2 linked regions of the Arabidopsis thaliana genome follow. The protein of the gene in region 1 interacts with the protein of each later gene in a pairwise test. Each region holds a gene or a part of one and is shown in the gene's direction. Other genes may lie near its edges.

What was found.
Region 2: the proteins of UBP5 (region 1) and AT2G21830 interact in a two-hybrid assay, tested with the Arabidopsis thaliana proteins (one large-scale study listed by BioGRID).

Annotation. Positions count from the first base shown.
Region 1 is NC_003071.7:17,074,571-17,084,161, reverse strand, and holds UBP5 (ubiquitin-specific protease 5), read left to right. Parts: upstream 1-1,633; 5' UTR 1,634-1,969; coding exon 1,970-2,109; intron 2,110-2,427; coding exon 2,428-2,682; intron 2,683-3,056; coding exon 3,057-3,201; intron 3,202-3,302; coding exon 3,303-3,362; intron 3,363-3,469; coding exon 3,470-3,565; intron 3,566-3,761; coding exon 3,762-4,151; intron 4,152-4,543; coding exon 4,544-4,684; intron 4,685-4,763; coding exon 4,764-4,934; intron 4,935-5,423; coding exon 5,424-5,681; intron 5,682-5,762; coding exon 5,763-5,911; intron 5,912-6,162; coding exon 6,163-6,723; intron 6,724-6,947; coding exon 6,948-7,221; intron 7,222-7,313; coding exon 7,314-7,448; 3' UTR 7,449-7,474; exon of another isoform or gene 7,475-7,571; 3' UTR 7,572-7,850; downstream 7,851-9,591. Other genes in the region: AT2G40935 (PLAC8 family protein), read right to left, coding at 1-110, 199-425, 783-963; AT2G40925 (F-box and associated interaction domains-containing protein), read left to right, coding at 8,046-9,257. UniProt on the Arabidopsis thaliana protein: Recognizes and hydrolyzes the peptide bond at the C-terminal Gly of ubiquitin. Involved in the processing of poly-ubiquitin precursors as well as that of ubiquitinated proteins.
Region 2 is NC_003071.7:9,301,219-9,307,911, forward strand, and holds AT2G21830 (Cysteine/Histidine-rich C1 domain family protein), read left to right. Parts: upstream 1-2,494; 5' UTR 2,495-2,602; coding exon 2,603-3,655; intron 3,656-3,732; coding exon 3,733-3,831; intron 3,832-3,924; coding exon 3,925-4,482; 3' UTR 4,483-4,807; downstream 4,808-6,693. Other genes in the region: EME1A (essential meiotic endonuclease 1A), read left to right, coding at 1-47, 124-238, 339-527; AT2G21810 (Cysteine/Histidine-rich C1 domain family protein), read left to right, coding at 1,036-1,422; AT2G21820 (seed maturation protein), read right to left, coding at 1,765-2,001; AT2G21840 (Cysteine/Histidine-rich C1 domain family protein), read right to left, coding at 6,170-6,207, 6,295-6,379, 6,459-6,693.

The DNA of each region.
Region 1 (9,591 bases):
ATGTCAAGAGGATATGAACCACTGCTTTGTTCTCGAATCTCTCTGTATTCTTGGCAAATGGCACACAAGTGACAGAAGAAGTGTGTTACAAAATCCCCACATGGAGCCTCCTGAATCAAAGAATGTTAAATCAGTCAGAAGCGCCACATACATACCTAATGGTATTATCCACATATGTGTCGTTTGAGAAATTCTAACCTGTAAATTGTACTTGGCTCTTAATGATTTGCGGTACCCGCAAGCATAACATGACACAAAGCATCCCGGTAGACCGAGCAATGCGCCATTAGTTGCAAAGCAGCAAATGGTATTGACCAAAGCCCAGGAGATGCAATGGGTTAAGCAGGGTCCTGCAAATGTTCCAGACCCCAGAAGCTCTGCGTTTTTGCCAAAGATATAACAAGGACAGAACAAACCTACACAACCTGTGCATACGAAACAAACCACAGTAAGTTGTAATGTTCATTTCAAACCATTGTCTAAATGATCTTCAGCATAAACAAGAAAACAGAATCAAGTCCTAGAGAAGTAACACAAGGAAGCTCAAAACATAAGCAATCTAAGTTTCTTCCTAGCCTATTCAAGAAATGCACTTGGTTATTCTTCTAAACCAAAAAAAACTCTGCAAGAACTATCAACCAGAACCACACTTATCTTTATGAACATATCTGAACACACTAACACATGGCAATTTCACAGGTCAATGCAAAGAGGCACCTTTAACAAATTTGATTCGTGTAGTAAAATGAAGAAGGTTTGGATGACAGAGAGTAGTAGCATACAGCTCTGCATATCGTCGAAGCAAGCGCATATACCAGATGACCATTGTCTCGGATCATCTTTTGTGCTTTCAGAAACAGCAATTTCCAGATTTGGAGTAGTGGTCTCTACTTCAGTATCAGCATCTGACTGTGTTAATGGAATATAAGATGGTGGCACGTAATGACCCTTCTTCTCTTTCATCCTAATTCTGATGAAACCACCAATATCAAGAACAGGACTTTATTTACCACAGAGCCTGAAAATTGACACCAAGAAACACATCTGTACCTTGAATTGCATCAAAATGAACATATATACAATTACTACAACAGCAGCTAAATCAAAAAGGTAGTGAGATGGAGAAGATAAGTAAATGAACGAACAGAGCAAGAAGCAGAGACAAAAAAAGGATCGGAAGAGAGAACAAGACGAATCAGCGAAAACGAGATAAAAGAGTAAACTTTAAACCCAAGAAGAAATAATCAGATACATGTGAATAGAAACAACTCTTTACCTGAGCTCAACGGAGAGATTAGTTTAGCGCATTAACTCAGAGATTCACGAGAAAGAGCTTACTTTTATTTTATTTATTGGTTCCAGAAGAAGAGAGATGGAGTTTCCACGTTGAGTAAATTGACCAGGCCTCTTATCAACATGTTATTTATATATTAATCTCAAAACATCAATTTACGCATTAATAAATTTTTCATTATTAGTAAAATGTTTCTTTCCAACCATTGTTTAAAGTTTCATATCTAACAATTTGAGAAAATAAAAGTTACAAAAAAAAAAAAATCTAACAATTTTAAGATATCTTTTTAAATCAACCTTTTCAATTAGTGCAAGAGCAAAAAAAAAAAATGTTGGTCAACAAAAATTGTTTTTTTTCTTAAATTTATAAATGGTGGTGGATTTTTTTGGGGACCTATTTCGAAATGACTATCTAAGGAGCGAAGCCAGCAAGGATCTGTTTCAGAGAGAAAAAAAAGAGGTTCCGACTTTTTGTTAGCGAGCGGCTCACTCTACTTTGTCTCCCCCAAAAAAGCCGTTAGGGTTTATCATATCCACCGCCTTGCTTTACTCTCGCCGGAGTCGTACGGCGAAGCACGGTTGTTCGGCGTTGTCTCAGCTTTAGATTCTTCTCTTCATAGCTAGAATTCGCGAAAGCTGACTTTAGCTGAAACGAATTTCTCCTAATTTTCGAGATATGGCGGAGGTATCGATGGGAAGCAGCAGTAGCAGCACGGATCTGTCTCCCGAGGAAGAGCGAGTTTTCATCAGAGACATTGCTATTGCTGCTGAGGCTAATAGTAAAGAAGGCGATACATTTTATCTCATCACTCAGAGGTTTATAAAGCTTTGATTTTTGCTCCCTATGGTCACTTGTAGCTTGAATTTATCAAATTCCCAAGAGTTATATCTATCTGTTCGTCTTGTTTGGTTGCCTTGGTTTCGGACTTGGTTAGGGTTAGAGTTACGATTAGGGATTGGGTTATCTGTAGTAGTTGATGAGATTAGTTTGAGCATTTCATAACCTTTTCCAAAGAACTGTCTTTTATTGACTCATGTTTATGGGTATTGTATTAGATTACAACCATTGTGATAAAGTTTGAATTTTCTCTTATGGTACTTCTGCTGAGAACATTCTCTCTCTTTTCTGTCCAGATGGTGGCAAGAATGGATTGAGTATGTGAATCAAGACCAACCATGTAACACAAATGATGGGTCTTCACTGTCAGAGCATTGCGACTCTCCTGGTTCAAGCACTCTAAAGAAGCCTTCTAGGATTGATAACTCTGATTTGATCTATGATTCTTCGCTGGAGGACCCGAGTAATACCAGTGAGATTATTGAAACACTTCAGGAAGGTCGTGATTATGTTTTGCTCCCTCAAGAAGTGTGGAACCAATTGCGTTCATGGTGAGTTTTAAGTGTAGAAGAATTGAACTGATATTAAATTTTACGTCTCTTCATCTTATGTGGGCTAGACTTATTTTTATCCCTATTCTAGTGCTTTTGATTTTCCTTGGTTATCTTTGGTATGTTGGGTCATGTTTATCTAACATTCCTCAAATGGATAATGCTAAGGTTAAGTCAGATGTGTAGCTCTACCAAGTTCATCTTGTATGCACCTGATGTTATTTAGTTGCTTTCTCTCCTATGTTGATTTGTAATGCATAATATGAAACTAATAACGCAATCTCTTGGTTTTCTTATTTACTACACTATAGTTTGGCTTTTTTCACTTAAACTGATTATATGGTTCTTATGGACTATTGCTTCTGTTTTATAAGGTACGGGGGTGGTCCAACTCTGGCACGGAGAGTCATTAGCTCAGGTCTCTCTCAAACAGAATTGGCTGTAGAGGTTTACCCTTTACGTCTTCAGCTACTTCTGATGCCAAAAAGTGACCATAGTGCCATAAGAATTAGCAAAAAGGTTATCCTCTTTTCTGTTCTTTTTTTTTCTTTGTTCATTACTTGAAAATCTGAACTCGTTTAGTCTGCTACTTCATTGAACTATCAAACTTTGTTGTGCAGGAAACTATCAGAGAGCTCCATCGAAGAGCCTGTGAAATTTTTGACCTCGACTCAGAGCATGTAAAGATCTGATATTCCTATGTTATTAAACAGCCCGTTTCAATAATACTTTTGGTATTCTTTTCTTTCCCTTTCTCTTTCTTACATGAGCATTTTCTATCATGTAGGTACGCATTTGGGATTACTACGGCCACCAAAAGTATTCTTTGATGAATGACTTAGATAAGACACTGGACGATGCTAACCTACAAATGGATCAGGATGTGAGTTCACTTCTTCTTCTTCTTCTTTTTGCTTTCAAAGTTATTAGCTATTTGAATATAAATTTTTTATGCTTCAGTCCGATTGTTTAGTTAGCCTAAGCTTAAGGTTTTATAGCTCTCTGACTTTTATCTTTTCTGGTGTTCTTACTGACTCGTTAACTTTCCCACTGATTTTGTGTCTGTCGTTTAAAAACAGATTTTGGTGGAGGTGCTTGACATCAATGGTACATTATCAAGTGCTCACATTCAATCTGCTCAAGAGAACGGATTGGTGGATGGAGACTCTACTTCTATTCTCATTGAGCCTTCTAAATCGAGCTTGGCTGCCGCAGGAGGGTTCTCTTCAAGCAGGAATGCATTCAGAACTGGTAGTGTAGAAGTTTCACAATCTTTTGATAACACATACAGTAGCACTGGCGTCACCACTAGGGGATCCACAGCTGGCTTGACAGGGCTGCTAAATCTTGGGAATACTTGTTTCATGAATAGTGCGATTCAGTGTCTGGTTCATACACCTGAGTTTGCTAGTTACTTTCAAGAAGATTATCATCAAGAAATAAATTGGCAAAACCCTCTTGGAATGGTGGTAAGTTCCTCTTGAAGTTCTTTGCTACTCATAAATCTGATGGATACATAAGTGTGTGTGTAGGTTTAAGTGTATAGGTATGCTTAGACATCATTGGTTCACTTGTGTTTCCCTGTTGCACGTAAAATCTTTTGCAGTATTGTATGTTTGGGGTTGTGCTTTCGTCCCAAACATTCTTGATAGGCTTAATTTTGCATATAAATGGAATAACGTTGGAATATATAAGACATCTTATATCATCAGAAGTTACATTAGAAGTTGATTAGGGTAGTGTTCCTTGGCAGGTAATCAGTGTTATTTTCTCGCGTAGATCACAAGCATTGTTTCTTTCTGAGATATTGAGTAGTTGATTTCAGATCATTTCTTGACTGTATTGAAATCATTTTGCACAGGGGGAATTAGCTCTCGCATTTGGTGACTTGCTCAGGAAGTTATGGGCTCCTGGGCGGACACCAATTGCACCTCGTCCATTCAAAGCTAAACTTGCTCGCTTTGCTCCTCAATTTAGTGGGTACAATCAACATGATTCGCAGGTTTGTGAGACTAGCCAGATATTTTCTTTAACCTGAATTTACATTGTAGCTCAAGGAATTCGAGTTTTTCATTTTGCAGGAGCTTTTAGCGTTTCTGCTGGATGGTCTTCACGAGGACCTAAATCGTGTTAAACACAAACCATATATAAATTCTCGAGACGCAGATGGGCGCCCTGATGAAGAAGTTGCTGATGAGTTCTGGAAAAATCATATTGCTCGTAATGACTCAATAATAGTTGATGTTTGTCAGGTCAGCTGTATATCTTTTAGAAAATCCAACGCTTCTCTGTTTATCAACTCATGGCATTGAAACTGATACTAGTATTGTGGATTAGGCTTGCATTTGGTTATAACGTCTAGGAATCTGCTGTATGGTCACTCAACTAATAGACACGAGTAACCGACATTCCAGTCCCTTTTGCTTTTTAGTGGCTCTGTAGAAAGTTAATTATATCAGAAGAGTTAAATTGGCCTAGTAAAAATACTGTATACATTTGCAATTTTCACAGAAACACGGTATTTGAAGAGGGTACATAACTTGTCTCTGTTCCTATTGAATTTAGTCTTGATATTTATGTTAATCTCGGTTGTGTGAGTGCATCCATCATGTATCAGCTTTATATGTAGCTGATTTTTAGCTTGTGATTCAGACCCAGGGTATATTGTTATTTTTTGTTTTGGTTTTAATTTTTAATACTGTGGGGAATCTCATTCTCCTACTCTGTTTGTCAACTCACAGGGCCAATATAAGTCAACATTGGTGTGTCCAATCTGCAACAAGGTTTCTGTAACGTTTGATCCCTTCATGTACCTGTCTTTGCCGCTGCAGTTCAACACAACACGAGCAATAACAGTCACAGTTTTTTCTTGTGATAAAACTGCCTTACCTTCCACTATCACAGTCAATGTTTCAAAGCAGGGACGTTGCAGAGACTTGATCCAGGCATTAACAAATGCTTGTTCCTTGAAGCAAAGTGAAGAGCTGAAACTTGCAGAGGTTTGTGGCTTCAAGTGCGTTTTTGAGTAAGATGTTGATCTTTTGGCTTCCGCTTATCTAAGTTTAATATGTTTTTCGCAGATTCGGAATAATTTTATCCATAGATTATTTGAAGACCCTTTAATTCCGTTGTCAAGTATCAAAGATGATGACCACCTTGCTGCATACAAACTTTCAAAGTCTTCGGAGAATACGACTTTGCTTAGACTAGTACTCCGCCGCAGAGATCAGTAAGTTAAATATCAGTCTAATTTGTATGAACTAATTCTGGGGATTAGTTTGAAACAACAAAGTCCTCTTCTGTACTCAACATCTTTGGATTTCCTTTCTTAAAACTTCAAGACTTTCTTTTCTTTAAGGCCTCACTTCTTCAGTCTTTGATTTCTGAATAATTTTTGAATCCTTGATTAATGCTGATCTGAGAAAGGTATCTTATATTCTGTTTGCTCTCTTCTTTATCTTTTCTTGTACCATGTTTTAGGAAAGCTGGGGAACGTGAAAGTACAGTACAATTGAAACCCTGTGGAACACCTCTTCTCTCATCAGCTTCATGCGGAGATGCACTCACCAAAGGAAAAATCCATTGCCTCGTCCAGAATATGCTTTCACCTTTTCGGAGGGAAGAATCTGTGGGCAAAAAAGGAAATTCTGATTCTAGCATCCCCGAGAGAAGGTCAGCTCGATTTAATAATACTGAGGAAGAAGATAAAGTTGGTGGACTGAAAAAAGCCAAGAAAAGCAACTCCTCCGACTTGGGTGCTTCTAAATTATCCCTGCAACTCATTGATGAAGACAACAAAACGATTAATCTGCCAGACAATGAAGCAGAAGCTATGAAATTACCGTCATCAGCTACTGTAACTATATATTTGGATTGGACACCAGAACTCTCTGGTATGTATGATATAACTTGCCTGGAGAGTTTGCCTGAAGTACTCAAATACGGACCTACTACCAAGAAGGCTCGTTCAGAACCTCTTTCTTTATATGCATGTTTGGAAGCGTTTCTACGCGAAGAGCCTTTGGTACCTGACGAAATGTGGTAAGCAGTCTTTTCTCCTTATCCTTCCTGTGAGACTCATTTTTTATGGTTTGTGGTAAAAGTTGAACTACGCATTACTACAAGATGATGAATGATGTTCAGAAATTGCTAGTGTCTACTACGGATGGAAGTTGAACACACTGTATTTTTGCAGTAGATTTTAGCCAGTATCTTCTACTTAGCTGACTAAATCAATCAATGGTATCATTTCTCTTTTTTTGAAGGTTCTGTCCACAATGCAATGAAAGAAGGCAGGCAAGCAAAAAGCTTGATCTGTGGAGGCTTCCTGAGGTCTTAGTCATACATCTAAAGAGATTCTCATACAGCAGGTCCATGAAGCATAAGTTGGAAACATTTGTTAACTTTCCCATTCATGACTTAGATCTAACAAAGTATGTAGCCAACAAAAACCTATCTCAACCTCAACTATATGAGCTCTATGCCTTGACCAACCATTATGGTGGTATGGGCAGCGGACACTACACTGCACATATCAAGGTCAGTTCGAACAACTAAACTTTTTCATTCTGTTTCCATTTCTGAGTTTCTTGCTTGTTTTTCTTATGTTTATTATCGAATATGGTCTGCAGCTTTTGGACGACAGTAGGTGGTATAACTTCGATGATAGCCATATATCACACATAAACGAAGATGATGTGAAGTCAGGTGCTGCATATGTGCTCTTCTACAGGAGGAAGTCTGATGCAGGCGGAAAAATGACATAAGTCTGCTCAAAACGACAATCTCCGAGGTAACAAATACCAAATTTAATTCTAAAAAGATTCTTAAAAGAAGTTTAGTTAGATCACTGAAACGTAGTTGTGGACTTGTGTTTACGCGTCTTGCAGGTTCCAGTAGTAATCTCTACACAGCTGTCTGCAACTTGGAACCCATAAGAGTGACAATTAGGTTTAGATCTATTGTAAATTAGTGGAGTTGGGTTCTGAGTAGTTTAATTAACAGAGATGAATATTGTCTCTCCTTCTCTGTCAGTTTCTGTATAGATTGTGTTTGGCATAATAGCAGTACTGTTATTGTCACTGACACATAATCACAAGACTCAGTCTAAATATGTAGTAGACAAGGTTTTTTATCTAGTTTGCCCAAAAACAAAAAGACAAGTTTCTTAATGGGCTTTGTTGAACGAATGGGCTTAAAAAATCAACGCTAGCCTCCTTGATATCTCCACCAACCGTGACCGGGAAACATGAAAGAACTTCCTCTTCCTAATTAGTAAGAACAAGAGTACTTAGGGTTTTGATATAAGTTTGTGGGTAGCGCTTTGTCAAAATCTATTGGGTTTGGTTTTTCGTCCAGCAGTCATGCAACGAGAGAGGAGTATGAAGAGGAAGAGAAGAAGAAGAGGAATCAAAGATATGTGCAATAGGCACGACTGCGAGATCCCTCCTGATCTCATGATAGAAATTCTTATAAGATTGCCAACAAAGTCCTTTATGAGGTTCAAGTGCGTCTCAAAGCAGTGGTCACCCCTTATCTCTGGTCGATATTTTTGCAACCGTTTATTTACTTGTGTAACACGACAACAACAACAACAACCACGTCTATACATGTGTTTAGTGGCCAAAGACAAGCAATGTGTTCTACTATCATCAACGTCACCGGACAACACTTGTTTTGTACTCGTCGACCAAGATTTGAGCATCCCAGGCTACTTCTTCGCCTCTGTTCCTGGCTTGCTGTGTTTCCAGTTCGGAACAAAGGCGTGTATCTATAACCCTAGCACCAAACAACTCTTGACCTTACCCTCCGTAAAATCCGACATCACAGCTCAACAAGGTCAACTGAAGACTACCCAATACTATATTGGACGCGATCCTGTTAATGATCAATACAAACTAGTCTGCACTATTCTGATATACTCGAAATTGTTTGCAAACATGAGCTCAGAGCATTGGGTCTTCACACTAGAACTTGGAGGTTCCTGGAAAAAAGTTGTTCCACTGGGAAATTATCATCCCCATGCTCCTGCCACAGCAGGACGGTCTATCGATGGAGTAGTACATTATCTAGCCTGGGTTGATTTGTACAAGTGTGCGGTTGTGAGTTTCAACATTAGGTCTGAAGAGGTTACTACCTTCCTATTACCTCGGAAAATCTGGGATGTGCCTGTGCCTGCACTGATGATGAAGGCGGATCTTATAGAGTATGATGGAAAATTAGCAATTTTCAGTCATAGCTACCTTAAAGACGAGGGTTTGGTAGAATTATGGGTATTGAAAGACGCTGCTGGGAAGAAGAAATGGTCCAATATGATCCTGGTTTTGCAGCCTTGCCAAAGGCATTTAGTCCATGGCATTGATTTGATCGTAAAAGGTACAACTCAAGACGGCAAGGTTATACTGTCACCCTTGGAGATGCGTTCTCAGTTCTACATTCTGTGTTATGATGTGCAAAACAATGATTTGAGAAAGGTTGAAATCACAGGAGTACCACGCCTTTGGTTGCATAAAGAATGCAATTTTGACTTGAAGTTTATGGATGAGAGTGAGAGCTTCATCTACTTGGAAATTTGACCAATACTTTTGACTTTTGTTTGTGTACCAGATAAGAATACAGTTAAGTTTTTTTTTTTTCTTCTGTCAAGATTAGTCTCCTACCCATAAATCCACCGAACCCTCGTTAACATTTATTATCAATCAAGAACACAAAAGAGAAGCACTCTACTAATTTGAGAAAGCGCTTTATGCTTATCTCGGTTTCATGAATGACAGTTGTTGTTTATATGGTCAAAGTTAAAAGGGTCTGCTTCATTCTTCACCATCTTTTGTAGAGACAACAAGATGATGCCTGCTCTAACAAACAAGCATGTGCCAAAAAATAATCATCTGTGCTCTTCTATACACACTA
Region 2 (6,693 bases), 7.8 Mb from region 1:
ATGTCCAAGAATGCAGCTGATAAGCACTTGATTAGAGAGAGCATATGGTAGAGTAATCTAAACCCAGTTTCAATAATCTTTTTAGAAATCACCTTCTTTGTTTAATATGCATTGGATCGATAGGTTGAAAGTGTTGGTAGCAATACCAAAGGTACAGCCAAGATACGCTATAGCAGTGTCAAAGAAATACCCATCCTTGAAGTCACTTCTTAAGGTTTATATGGATCCTAACATATCGGTGAGTTAACACAAACTACGGATATTGACTTCTTGAGTTGTTGTTTCTAATGGCTTCTGATGCAAATTGTGTTGTGTTGGTTAACAAAATTGGGGACCAGGTTCATGAGAAGGAGTTTCTACTGAAAGACTTGAAAGTGGAAAATTTAGTAGGAAGAGACACAAGTGTAGGTGAGGCCTGTTCGAAGCGGATATACAGAGTGCTTATGTCTTTAGATGGAACCATTAAGACTGATGACGTCGAAAATGGTGCTGCTTCCTTCACACTTCCTCCATCTGACTTAATTTAGAACTAGAGAGAACATCAAATAGGTTCTTAACTTTCTATGTCAAACAAAACAGAAGAATGATTGTGTCTGAGATTTTTTTTTGTATATGCATGCAAAGTTCATTATGTTGTTTGAAGTCTTTAATGTGTGTAGTCCTGACTCGTTTTCTAAAGAGTAAAGATAATGATATATTTTCTGGCAAGTGGTTTTGAGTGCTTGACTTGTAGAGTTGCAATTCTGTTTTCTTCTTTTCATTACAATTCTGTTTTCTTCTTTTCTTTTCTTATTGATGATGAAAAGCTACTCATACTCATAATCAACAGGAAAAGCCTTCGCCGTTGTACTTGAAAGTTTTGTATTCTTCTAGCAAAGTTACCATGAGATCAATAGATCAAGAAACCTCTGGAACCAACAACTTGGAAAACAAACTACAGTATGACTTTTACATAATCAATCACGCTCATGAAAACTAAAAACACTTTTTCTCGTTTTGGCTAATTGCTTCAGGTAGGTTAATGATATATGGCATATGCATGTTATGAAACCAGTCCTCATGAGTGCTCTTGATAAATATCCATATTGCAAGATATGTGGAGGAAACATACTTGGTAACCCATGGAAATGTGAGACCTGCCGCTTCGAGACACATCAGTACTGTGTGGAGTTGGGGCGACCATCAAGACATCGATTTCATCAGAACCATCCTTTGACACTGTTGACAAAGTATCCTTCACAGGAAAAGATGAAATGTGACATTTGCAGAGAGAATATATACGATTTCAATCTCTTCTGCCGTATATGTACTTTTGTTATCCACATCAACTGTGCCTTGAAAAGTAAACATGTTCTTGAAGCTTTAAGGCAGAAATTCACTGGAACTTGGAGTTTTTGTTTGGGAAAGCTGTGTCATGTATGACGTGTGAAGAGATATATCATCCTGTGTATTGAGAGCTACCATACTGGTTCTGTCTCAGGATTCAACACATGTTATTTCCTTGTGTTGTTATAAGTTTAGGTGTTTTACTCTTGGTTGGTTTTGTGAAGGTCCTATTTGATCTTGCTTCTCTGTTTTTTCATACACAGATCCTATTGGTTTTTTAAGAGGACACAGTTTGATTTGGTTCATAATAAAGAGTCTGAATGTTAGGTTTCATTGTTTTCTCATAAAAGACTTTTATTGATTAGTTTTCTACTCAAAACATGTTTTTAATATTACATGACTATGACAGGACCGTATCTGAACATATTTTACAGAGACCTAGCCGGTACCGGTAACACCAAGATCCTGCTTCTTGTCGTCTTTACCAGCACCAAAGACAGGTCCGCCAAGACCAGCAGCATCAGAGACCTTGTCTTGAAGCTTGTCAACTTGAATCCCACCTTCGTCTTCCTTTGACCTTATATCAAGCTTCGTCTTGTTCTGTCCTCCTTCCACTGACTCGTACGTTGTCGCCGTTCTTGAATCCATCGGCTCTGCTCCTTGTGCTCCCGACATCGTTGATGATACCGATCCTTCTTAACTCATTTTCCCCTTTTGTCCACAAAACTTATTTATGCCCTCAAGCCATGGTCTTAAAACCTGCCACCTTGCCAAGACGTGGCAGTTCTTCAGAAGTCTAGACCTATCTTGTTGGTCACGTGTCGTAAGTTAGCCAAAAGAAGTCGTCTTTGACCCTTATCATCTGTTGGATTTATGCTTCTTGATATGTTATCGAACATGCTTATGAATAAAGAACTGTCTAGTGAAAGGTACTTCACACTGAGAAGACTCTTCATCAATTTTTAAGTTTCATATTCAATAACAATTTTAAGTATCATTATTACTTCAATTACCATAATGATACCAAAAAAAAAAAAATGGGCTCAATAGAATCCAATTAAGCATGGTCAGTAAACGAAATAAAAAATATTAAATTTTCCAACCACACCACGTTGAGAAACAATTATTGAGCCACTAATTTATTACTCTCTCTCTCTCTGTCGACCTCACAATTAGTTATGCTTTTGGGATTTTGAATCATGAAGGTTCTTTGATCAAGATTACTGTGTTATCTAATGGTACTCTTAGATCAAGATTCCAATCTTGCTTCTTCCCCATGGGAAAACTCGAGCATTTCTCCCACTCATGCCCTTTGACCTCGCCGGAGATTGTAGCTGAAGGCATCTGCAACATTTGCTTCCAAGACCAAGTTGTTGAATACGCATGTAAGCCTTGCAATTTTGATATATGTAAGACTTGCTCCAAGCTGCCGCAAAAGGTGTCACATGGTTTTCACTCAGATCATCCTCTTGAGTTTTCTCTATTCCAATATGATCGAAAACCTGGTTACATTGTCTGCTCTTGTTGTGGGAACATGTCTTCTTGCTCATTCTATGAATGTAAAGAATGTGAGATCTATCTTGATCTCGGTTGTGCACTACTGAAGAACGTTTTCACTGGTTGGGACGTTAGAGAAATGCTTCATTACAGTCATGAACATTTGCTTCGAAGGTGTAAACCAGGACAAGATGCTAGAGGCTCTTGCCTGCTTTGTGAGCTCCCTCTTTCTCCCTCTTCTATATGTTACGGTTGTGTTTACTGTTACTCGTTTCTCCACGAGCGCTGTCTCGATCTTCCGACAGAGATTCGACATCCCGTGCATCTGGAACACCCTCTCAGACGCCTTGATTACATACGAAGTGGTGGTCGAACATTTTGCGGTGCGTGTAGAGAGAAGATTGACAGTGTCCCCTTTGGCTGCCTAGAATGTGGTTTTTACATTCACATGAGGTGTGCAGATTCGTTTTTGCGCTGTCTGATGCATGAATCTCATGAGCATAAATTGTTTTATGTATCTTCGAATGCTAAAGAACATTTTGGAAGAAACAATTGTTGCCAAATATGCTTGGGAGCTGTAGTGAGCTCTCTCGATTCTTACTACCACTGCATCGAATGTGAATTGGAGTTTCATTTCGAATGCCTTGGGATTTCCAAGACCATTTCTAAGAGATCTTGTCACATTCATCCACTTGTTTGTAAAAGAGTACGTGAAGAGGATGATTCTTTGGAGTACTGTGGCGTTTGCGAGACATTGATTCATGCCGGACATCATGTTTATTCGTGCGAAGAATGTGATTTTCTTGGTCACATTGAATGCATTCTACGCGAGGTAATCAATATCGTTTTTGTGTTTTTTTGTTTCTTAATAATGATGCAATGCTGATGATCTATATCTACAAACTACAGAAAGAGCCATCACCATTGTACTTGAAGGATCTGTATTCTTGTGTTGAAGACGTCAAAAGAGCAACAAACCAAGAAGACTATGAAACCAACAAAGTTATGGTATGGCTTTATAATTATCTATCAGTGGAAGAAAAGTATGAACATCATTTTAAGCCAGCCTTTTGTCTCAAACGTGTAAGGTATATGTTGCAGGTTCATGATATCAACCATAATCATGTGGTGACATCGATTGATATGTGTGAGCTTGAAGGCAAAGAACATTGTCACATATGTGAAAAAGAAATACTTGGTAATCCATGGAAATGCGAGACTTGCAACTTTGTGACACATAACTTCTGTGTGGAGCTAGGGAAACCATCAAGACATCGGTTTCATTGGAACCATCTTTTGACACTCATGCCAAAACCAGTTGCTACGGATATGACGAGTTGTAAAAGCTGCAGAGAGGATATAAAAGGGTTCAATCTATTTTGTCGAATATGCAATTTTATTATCCACGTCAGTTGCGCCATGAAAGGTAAACGTTTTCTTGGGATGACAGGACCGAAAGTCGTTGGAACTTGGAGAGGACGTTGTTTGGGAGGCAAGCATAGAATGGTCCAAGTTATGTTCCCGAGGTCATATCAAAAAGTTTGTATTATTTGTCATGAGAGGGTGCTTGGGAAGGCTGTGTCATGTATGGAGTGTGAAACGATTTATCATCTTCGGTGTATTGACCGACATCGTATCAAAGACCGTGATTCTTCGTAGTTAGGTTGTTCCTCCTCTGAAACTAAGTTCTGCAACTTCTTGTTATGTTATATACCTCTAAAATTTTGTCGGTTAGTAAATCATGTTTGTAATATGTTTATTTGCTCTGTTTATTTCTTGTTCTGTTTTCTTTGTTTTTGGCACACTATGTATTTTCAATCCTCTGTTTTGGATTCCATTATCGTTTTTCCAGTTCCAATGGTGTTTTTCTTATGTAATCTTGGTGACATAATACACAAAGTTCAGTGTTTCCATTGGAAAAGCCAGCGGCCCCTGCAGGTGCAGGAGTTGTTATGAATTGTAACATTTGCATGAATGATATAGAAGGGTTCAATCTCTTCTGTCGCCTATGCAATTTTATCACCCATACTATACTAGTCATAGGTCACCAATATATTGTCTGCTCTGGTTGTGGGAATATGTATTCTTGCTCATTTTACGAACGTGAGGTCTATCTTGATCTTGGTTGTGCCTACTGAAGAACATTATCACAAGTTGTTAGAGAAATGCTTCAGTACAGTCATGAACATTTGCTTCGAAGGTGTAGACCAGGACAAGACGCTAGAGGCTCTTGCCTGCTTTGTGAGCTCCCTTTGTCTCCCTCTTATACATGCTACGGTTGTGTTTCCTGTTACTTGTTTCTCCACGAGCGTTGCATTGATCTTCCAACAGAGAGTCAACATCGCGTGCATCCGAAACACCCTCTTAGAGGCCTTGATTACATATGAAGTGGTGGTCGAACATTTTGTGGTGCGTGTAGGGACAAGATTGAAAGTGTCCCGTTTGGTTGTCTAGAATGCGGTTTTTACATTCACATGAGGTGTGCAGATTCTTTATTGCGCAGTCTGATGCAATGAAACGGAAAGTTTCAGGAATATTTCCAACCAACTAACAAACAAGTCTTCCGCTGTTTCATGACAAAGCTCCTTCCCTCGAAAACTCGTCATGGGAGGCAAATTAAGGCTTCTCAGGAATCCTTGCATCCAATTCGAGGCAATTCTACGTTTCTGTAGTACAAAAAGAGAGAATGATTCTTTATCTGTAGTACAAAACGTCAGGCAACTGCAGCTTGTTCTCAAGCAAGCATCTCCCACTGTATTCACACTTACAATATAATTCCTCAAAGCCTGTTCATTCAATATGGAGAAGACTCAAAGTAAAATCACGTTCCTGACGTTTTGTCGGAAATTCCAGATAGAAGCTTAAGCTTCACACTATATCTATGGTTTTCCGAACACAAAAGCTTGATTATGCGAAAAACAAAATGCAAGTATTTTCTCGAAAAAGCAAAAATAAGAAAGAAACAACATCAAAACAACAATATTCCACACAAACAATCAGAGAAACTCACTATTAAATCAGGTATACACACTTGAAAATCATTCAAACTTGGCAATCAGAACCACAAATCCAAGATCCAATAAATAAACATGTTGCAAATTTAGTTCACCAAATGACTAAGTTGAAGATGATAGAATTCTGAAACATAACTTTAGTTCACTGAAGTTGCATTTGAGAGAGGGAGGCATAACAAATAAGACTCATCAGAGCCAAGTCTTCGAACACGCCACCTTTTATTGTTAAAACACGATAAGAAAACGAGAAGAGATTGAGGCATAACCTCAGATAAGGGATTTTTCCGTATTCAGTTTCATAAAGGGAGGCAGAACCAAACTAAGAGGAATCGTCACTGGCTTTGACCACATGCATCATCATCTGTTCTCACTACAAGAAGAAAATGAGATGATTTTGAGGCATAACATGATACGACGGAACTTGTGGTTAAATTCAGAGAGGGAGGCAGAACACTACCTAAAAGGTCAATGAGATCACGCTCAAGGTGCATAAGATAGATGTCTTTCTGTTGTTTCTCTTCTGTTGTTTCCCTACGGTCATCCTGTACGAATCGGGAAAAAAAATGATGAAATTCGAATATTATTTTTGATAAAAAAAATGAGAGTCGGTTAACTCTTTACCTTAGACATTATCCTTTCAGTGGGAAAATTCCTATCGCAAGGATAGCATTTGTAAGATATACGATCCATGTAATTGTCACGGACAGACCATTTTTCCCTGTGAGAAGTGTATACTTGTGTGAGAGTATGCACATGCCGTTGGTTCCTCACATTAGCTGGAAACCCAATACACTCTACATGGGCGTTGAACATACAGTCAATACATCCGTAGAACGACACACCACATGGTCTAGAG